2 linked regions of the Caenorhabditis elegans genome follow. The protein of the gene in region 2 purifies or fractionates together with the protein of the main gene of each other region. This does not show direct contact. Each region holds a gene or a part of one and is shown on either strand. Other genes may lie near its edges.

Region 1 (3,754 bases), on a different chromosome or scaffold from region 2:
TTCAGCGTTGATTTTTTAATGGAACAATTCCAAAAAACAACAATGTTCTAAAATTTAAAAAAAAAACGAACTCGACAAAAAAGTCAAACCGGAAAAACAAAAAACAACCCCCGTTCCAATTAAAAATCAGCTGTCATTTTTTTCACAGAAAGGAAGTAAATCTTCAACTTAGAGAAAAAAAAGTATACCTATTTGTCTCTTCAAGGCGACGTATGCCTACCTCCACGAGTGTCTACTTATACCGTCAAAAACTAGGTAGTTTGCGCCAAAGCGTCAAAAGAAGAGCGGTAGGCAAGAAAGTAGGCAGGCAGGCAGGCAGGCAGGCATAAAAAAGGTAGGCATGAATCAGGCATATTTTGATTTTGCTCCCCATTTCTTGGCTTTTGAGTCAAATTTTTATTGATTACACTTTAAAAGTTAACGGAGCAAACATAATAACTCATGACAAAAAGAAAAATAATAATTGCTCAAAAATTTTTGCCTACGCTCTTAATGAACAGGTATAAGATGTGATCGGTAATTTTAGAGGCCGAATTTTTTAATAAAAAGGACATGTTTTTGTTTCTAGGTTTTCGTTGAAACAACAATTATTTTCTGTGGTATTTTGATGTCAACCGGGAAGTATGGCACCGAAGCCAACTGTTGACTTAGCTTCAAAATTACCTACGCCTGCCTGGTGCCTACATGGGTGCCTTCAATCCAAGATTTTATGTTCAATTCAACATTTATATTGGAATATTGGAAATTGGAGTTTTTCGTCAGAATAGGCGCTAGGTAGGTATGTAAAAACGTGCCTACTTAGAGTTTGAGCCAGCCTAATCGCATTTCTTCAAGTTCTAATCGGATTCTCCTTTTCAACTCTTACACCGATTCCAATGAAAACATCCAAGCCAATATGATGGTAATGAAACATAAGTTTTTATAAATTGAAATGACTTTAATTTTTTGTGCCATTCTTCTTTAGAATTATCGAAAAGTTGAAACGCAAATAAATTTTAGTTTTTCCCAGCTTACTTTAATTTTTCTAAAGGGGTTTTTTGTCAAAAATTATATTTTTTTGAAGTTAATCTAAAGCAGAAGAAAAAAAAGCAGCACATTATTTCACCTTTTCTCGAAAATTGAATAATAATTTCTCGCACATTTGTCCTACCTAATGAACCCCTTAGGGATGTGCTCTTTCAAAAATAGATTATTATGATTATTATGAGGCAGGCTTTTACACTAAAAGTGAATGAAAGTGTGAGTATTGCAGAATTGTTGCAAATTTGCGTTTCAAAAGAACAAGTTGAGAATTTGAAAAAAAAATAACATTAATTTATTGCCAAGTGCATTGAAATCGAAAAAATTTTCGGTTCAGTTTTTATATAAATATTCTGAAACCGCACTTTTTTTTTATTTCTAGATTTTTTTCTTTTTCTCTCAAATCACCAATTTTCCCGCCACGTGTCAATTCGGTCGTTTACGTGACCACAATTAGACAATAAAAAAACAAGTATCAAGTCACCATTGCTGATATGATAAGCATCATGATGGCACCTACTGATAAGATAGTTCGCCTAGCCTACCCATTTTATTGTGGCTACTCTCGGTTCTTTTACTGTTTTTTCTTGTTGAGAAAAGTGTAGTTTTTTTTTTTCAATTAAAATTTTCATGGCTACGTACCCACCTACTTACCTGCCAACCTTCGTGCCTGCCTACCTACGTGCCTGCCTACCTACGTACACGCCTAGACTAACATGTTTCTCAATTTTATTGATCCTTTTGAAGGTTCAGTTTTAAAAATTGTCCGGTAGCACAGGCAAGGCAGGCAGATAGGCATTTTGGTGCCTACATTTGTGCCTTCTACCAGTATTTTGTTTTTGGTTAAAAAAAAAAAGGAAACCCAGAAAAAATTGATTAAAATGAGATATAGGTATATATAGGATATATAGGCACGATAAAGTAGTAAATCATTCAGGCAGCAGGCACCCAGGTAGGCAGGCACGCCTGAACACATGCCTACATATCTTGACGCCCCAAACTAACCGATTTTTGTTCCAGAAATGTGGGATCTTCGCGAAAAATTCGAAAGAGATGGATTTGTGGTAGTTGAAAATGTATTTAATGATCAGGAGATTGATGAGATGAAAAAATCGATTTCAAAAATTGTAAACGATATGGATTTGGCAGAACATCCGAAAAGTGTCTTTTCAACTTATGATGAGGATAAAGTAATTTTTTTTTGAAATTTGAAATATGAAATTTATAGAATTTTTGAAACAGTTGAAATGTTTCCTCTTTTTTTAATGAAAAAATATCAAAAAAATATCAAAAAAACTGTTGCAATAAAGTTTAAATTATCGATTTTCTAAGAATGCTTAAGAAAAAATCGATAATCAATCTTCCAGCACGCAGCGGACTCCTACTTCCTCAACAGCTCCGACAAAATCCGATTCTTTTTCGAAGAGGGAGCTGTGGATAAGGACGGGGAGCTCACGGTGCCCAAGGACAAGGCTCTCAACAAAATCGGTCACGGCCTGCACTTTCTGGATCCAACTTTTGAGAAGATGACGTTCAACTCGAAAATTCAAAATATCTTCAAGGAAATTGGATATCAGGAGCCCGGCGTCGTGCAGAGCATGTACATTTTCAAGCAGCCAAAAATCGGCGGAGCAGTGACGGACCACGTGGACTCTACGTTCCTTCGAGTGGACCCTATTGATCATCTTACAGGAGTTTGGATAGCAATTGATGAAGCCAGCGTGGAGAATGGATGTCTTTCCTTTATCCCGGGAAGTCACAAAGGTGAGGCAAAAAATATTCTCCCCGGCCGGGAATTGAACCCGGGTCTCGCATGTGACAGACGCGGATACTCACCACTATACTACCGAGGACATGTTTTTGCGTGCGCCCTTAGTGCGTACACAAACGATTCATTTCTCTTTTTTTGCAGACACTTCCTCCGCGAACTATCGATTCGTGCGAACCCATGACACGTCGGGAGGTGCTCTTCTTAAATTCATTGGCACTCGTCCAACATACGATCAATCCAAATTCCAGCATGTCCCCATTTCCAAAGGATCCTTGATTCTTATCCACGGCCTAGTGGTCCATAAAAGTGAAGCGAACACATCGGAAAAGTCACGTCACGCGTACACGATCCACGTCATGGAGCGGAAGAACACAAAATGGAGCGAACAGAATTGGCTTCAGGAGACCGAAAACTATAAGTTCCCAGATTTGTATAAAGATTAATTTTTAAAAGTTTAATTGAAATAAATTTGCAAAATAAATTAATATAATCATTGAACAAATGTGATAGGTGTGACCGATGTGATTTTTAATTTTTTCTTGGTGAAGCCTAGCCGTTGCAGGATATATTTTCGGAGAGAATCGGAGAAAACCCAGAGAAGATATGGGTTGATACTTGCGTAGAGGTCGCTGAAAGTAAGGTGTTTCATCTAGGCACCAAATGACCCAACTTCTCGTGTCCTCGGTAGTATAGTGGTGAGTATCCGCGTCTGTCACATGCGAGACCCGGGTTCAATTCCCGGCCGGGGAGAACTTTTTTTTCGCCGACTTACCTCACTGCGTTATACACCAAATAGAACTGATCAGAGGTGAATGCCAAGATATCTGCGCCTTTGAAAATGAAAAGTATGAGAATGCACATCTGCACACCCACAATTATTGTGCTCATTGTGAAGAGGCGAGCTTCTCGCATTTTCGCTTTCGAGCGGGAATTTGTGATCACTGGTGTCGGAGGCATCTGGAA
Region 2 (3,754 bases):
TCTTCAAGATTGAAAAAAGTGAAACTTAATTGTTAGTAAAGTTTTCGTATGTTCAATGAAATTTGTTCTGTTTTTTTTCCTCCCCAACACATTTTTTTTCAGACTACATATACACACGTTTTGGAACTCTTTTTATTGTTTTTCTCGATGAGTCCAGAAGAAAATGGTAGGGTAATCTAGTCATCTGATTTTAAAACTACAAAATACGGAATTTTTTTTTCAGATTTTAAATAAAAACAAAAACCAAAGCAAGGTGATGCCCAATCTAAATGTAAAAAGTGATATGGTTTTGACAGAGGAGGAAATTGTAGGTCGATTTGTTTTGTTTCTTTTTGGAAAATTACAACTAATTTGTTAGCCTTCATAAAAAATTTGTTCATTGCTTTCAGAAAAAATACAACGGTAAAGTGCTGGCATTACATCGACTTTTATCGAATAAGGTGAAGGTTTTTTTTTTTTGCTTTTTAGCAATTTGTCAAAACACATTTTGAAATGTGTTATAATATGTTGTTAAAATGAAAAAAGTGCTTCGAACTATACCTAGGACGATACCTAAGACGGTCAAAACTTTTCAAAAATTCCGTCAAGCAAAAACTGATAGTTAACAACATACATTCTCAAATTGTCAGAAAAATCGAAAGCCCACGAAAAAAGTTATGATTTTTGACCCAGAACTTATTTCAACGGATAGTTGTATGATAAAACGTGATTTTTACAGAAATATCGCAAACTGGATGAAAACGTTGACTATATAGAATTTGTGCAAAAAGGGTTTATGTATCTTTTATCAATTGGAAGACAGGAGTACAATAAGGTAAGTTCTGAAACTAATTATTTCATGAAGATTTTTAAAAACGTGGGCATGATTTTTTCATAAATTTGGAAAAAAAAGCCTTTCATTACAAGAACACATCACGTTTTCTTCCAGACGGACAAAGCGAAATGCGATTTTTTGATCAGGAGAATTCGAATCGTTGAAGATGCATTAATTAGAACCATTATTTTGGGCGAAGACTTCACAAAAATCATTGCACAATCGGAGCACCTCCTGGAACGATTTTTCCCCAAAATTTTATTTTAATCATATTTACTAACAAAAGTTCACTTAGAAACCGTGTATAAAAATTTATTCATTATTCTGTTATCAACAAATTTGATTAATATTACCTCATCTTCAGAATTTTGCTTCAAGATTTCAAGAACGGCAAATTCGATCAATTTGCCATGCTGGACAAACTACGAAAGTCAAGAAAATTTGTTGATATTTCTAAGAGCACCAAAATTACTGACTTCTAAGCACAAGTGTAATTAAAAAAAACATTAGTTTATGTCGGCCTACATAGCATTTAAAATAACTCAATTTTATAATATTTTACTGTAACTTTTTAAATTAATCAATAGTTTCGGTCAAATTTTTTATAATCCAATTAGTGGCGTGTTCGGCAAATTCAGCAAATTTGCTGAGCTCGGCAAACTGCAAATTCGGCAAACGAATTCAACACGAGAAGTATTGAAAAGCAGCGATTAGCGTCAAAAATAAAAAAAGTTGTTTCGAGTGAGAACTTTTTATGTGCAAGTTTCAAAGCGAAAATTATTGTTTTTTTTTTCGAATTAAAAATTTAAACCGTTCTTTTGACAGAAAAAATTGTTATATTTTTTGCTCTTGTCGTTTCAGAATGCAACCGCGCTCCAACACAAACATAACACTGCGTCTCTAATTCTTCACACACACTCTCTTCGAATTGTCTCCCGCGTACCCCACCAATCATCGATTCTGAAACGATTCAGTTTTACTCCATTATTTTACTCTATTTTCTTTTGCTTTTCCATCGAACGAAAACAAGCTAATTTCAGAATGCAATGAACAGATCAAACGAATTTGAGTGGAAGATTCCAAAATTGGAGGAGCCTGAGAATGCAAGTTTTTTAATGTTTTTTTCTTACAATTTTTCCATGTTTTTCAGATTCAAGATGTAAATTTATTTGAAGAAACTGAACCGGAAAAATTTACAAAAGGATATATCAAAGAAGAACTTCCCGATAAGGTAGAAATATTAGACTTTACCTACTAGATTAGTTTGTTTACACAGATTTGCTCAACTGTTCGAAAAGTGATTAAAATTCCACGATCGGCTCTGGAAAAGGTGGGAGTTCGTTTGCATGATGATGAACAAAAACCTACTCATTTGCTATCTGACGACATAAAAACAGAACCTATTGAAGAAGCTACACATGTGAACGTCGTAAGTTTTTAAGAGAAAATAATAAGATATACAAACCGATCCTAATATCTACCACAGTGAACGTCAAATGCAAAACTAACAATTTTCAATAATAGATTTTAGAATAGAAATAGTAGAATAGAACTTTGCAATAATTTGTAAGATTACTTGTAGCCCTAATATTTCTTCATTGGTTTCCTGTCACACTAGCTGTGGAATTTTTGTTATTTCTCACTGACAGATGATCAAACTGAAACTATGAAAAACTGCTCAACCTTTCAGTTCTTAACGTCACCAAACGAAGTATTTTTTTTTCAAAATGTAGCACATTCGAAAATTAGTCAGGTACTAGGTAATGAAGACTGGAAGTCTTTGTTTTTTGTGTATTTCTTTTTTCAGAATCACGCAAATGAAAGAAGTGCTTTTTTTGACAACTCATAACTTTAATGATAACTTTACTTAACTCCCATGCTCAACTCAGTTTCTATTCCAGATTCAAACTCCGAGTTGGAAACCAAAGTTTCAGTGCATTTCTGATCTTCTCAAAGATGATACAACTGATTTTGATTGCGAAATGTCACTGGGAAGTTCTGTGCTGTTTGATCGCCCGGATTCGTCTTTGCCAATTAAAAAGATCTGTCCAGGATTCCCAAAGAAAGGTAACTGAATTGCGCTACAAATAAAATACTATTCAGCTACTATATATAAAGCGCTTATTCTGTGTGTCCATAGTTTGTGGTCAATGTAGTCTTTGTAGTCTGTGAAGTTTTGGCTTCTGGAGGGATAGTGAGTTGGGGTTAGTGTAGGGATATAGTCGGGGTACTGTAGTGGTACAATAGTGGTACGGTAGGAATACTGTAGGGTTACGGTAGTTTTATAAAAAAATTAATTTTCAGCCACAGAAGTCGGGGGCCGCGCCGAAGGTGCGGTCCACGGCTGGTTCAGCTATAAATCATATCATCTAATTTATACTAAATTGATAATGATAAGTATAACTTTATAATGAATAAATAATAACTTGATAATGAATAACTTTTAATCAATCGTCTGATATTTCTAGATAGTTTGTAGAAAAAAAGTTTGATTTTTTGATGTATGATGCAATTTATACACACGCCAAAGTAATTAAAAGGCAGCCCCGGAAATGTCGATCGCTGTGCAGACAAAATGTATCTAATATCAAAATTTCAGTGGGAAGTATTCCATCCAACAAAAGGATCATGTCTGAAAGCCAAGTGAGACGAGAGTTGAACGCTAGTTTTGCAAGAAACTGCCACCCAACAGCGATTGGAATGCAGAAACTATCCGAACGGTGTGGAATACGATACAAGACAATTTTTGACAATTTTGAGACAATTAGAAAAGACGGAAAAATTGAATGTGAGACAAATGACGCGTGTTGTCGAATTCGGGAGTTTTTGTCTCGTGAAACGGATACTACTTCCTACATAGAAATTACGAACGAAGTGCAAACTGTATTGGAGGACGAGATTGAACTTCACCTTCTCTCACGGAAAAGGTTCACTCTTGGA

Evidence for each region. Proteins that work in one complex are often made in the same cells at the same time.
Region 1: the proteins of ceh-93 (region 2) and Y105C5B.9 fractionate together in Caenorhabditis elegans (co-fractionation; one large-scale study listed by BioGRID). This does not show direct contact.

What each region holds. Positions count from the first base shown.
Region 1 is NC_003282.8:15,928,541-15,932,294, forward strand, and holds Y105C5B.9 (Phytanoyl-CoA dioxygenase domain-containing protein 1 homolog), read left to right. Parts: upstream 1-2,040; 5' UTR 2,041-2,042; coding exon 2,043-2,210; intron 2,211-2,387; coding exon 2,388-2,784; intron 2,785-2,791; exon of another isoform or gene 2,792-2,877; intron 2,878-2,932; coding exon 2,933-3,234; 3' UTR 3,235-3,276; downstream 3,277-3,754. Other genes in the region: srv-16 (G-protein coupled receptors family 1 profile domain-containing protein), read right to left, coding at 3,282-3,420, 3,564-3,748. UniProt on the Caenorhabditis elegans protein: Has alpha-ketoglutarate-dependent dioxygenase activity. Does not show detectable activity towards fatty acid CoA thioesters. Is not expected to be active with phytanoyl CoA.
Region 2 is NC_003284.9:386,898-390,651, reverse strand, and holds the start of ceh-93 (Homeobox domain-containing protein), read left to right. Parts: upstream 1-1,854; 5' UTR 1,855-1,860; coding exon 1,861-1,917; intron 1,918-1,964; coding exon 1,965-2,045; intron 2,046-2,090; coding exon 2,091-2,243; intron 2,244-2,715; coding exon 2,716-2,881; intron 2,882-3,413; coding exon 3,414-3,754. Other genes in the region: R04A9.9 (NR LBD domain-containing protein), read left to right, coding at 164-166, 224-307, 390-440, 719-814, 929-1,081.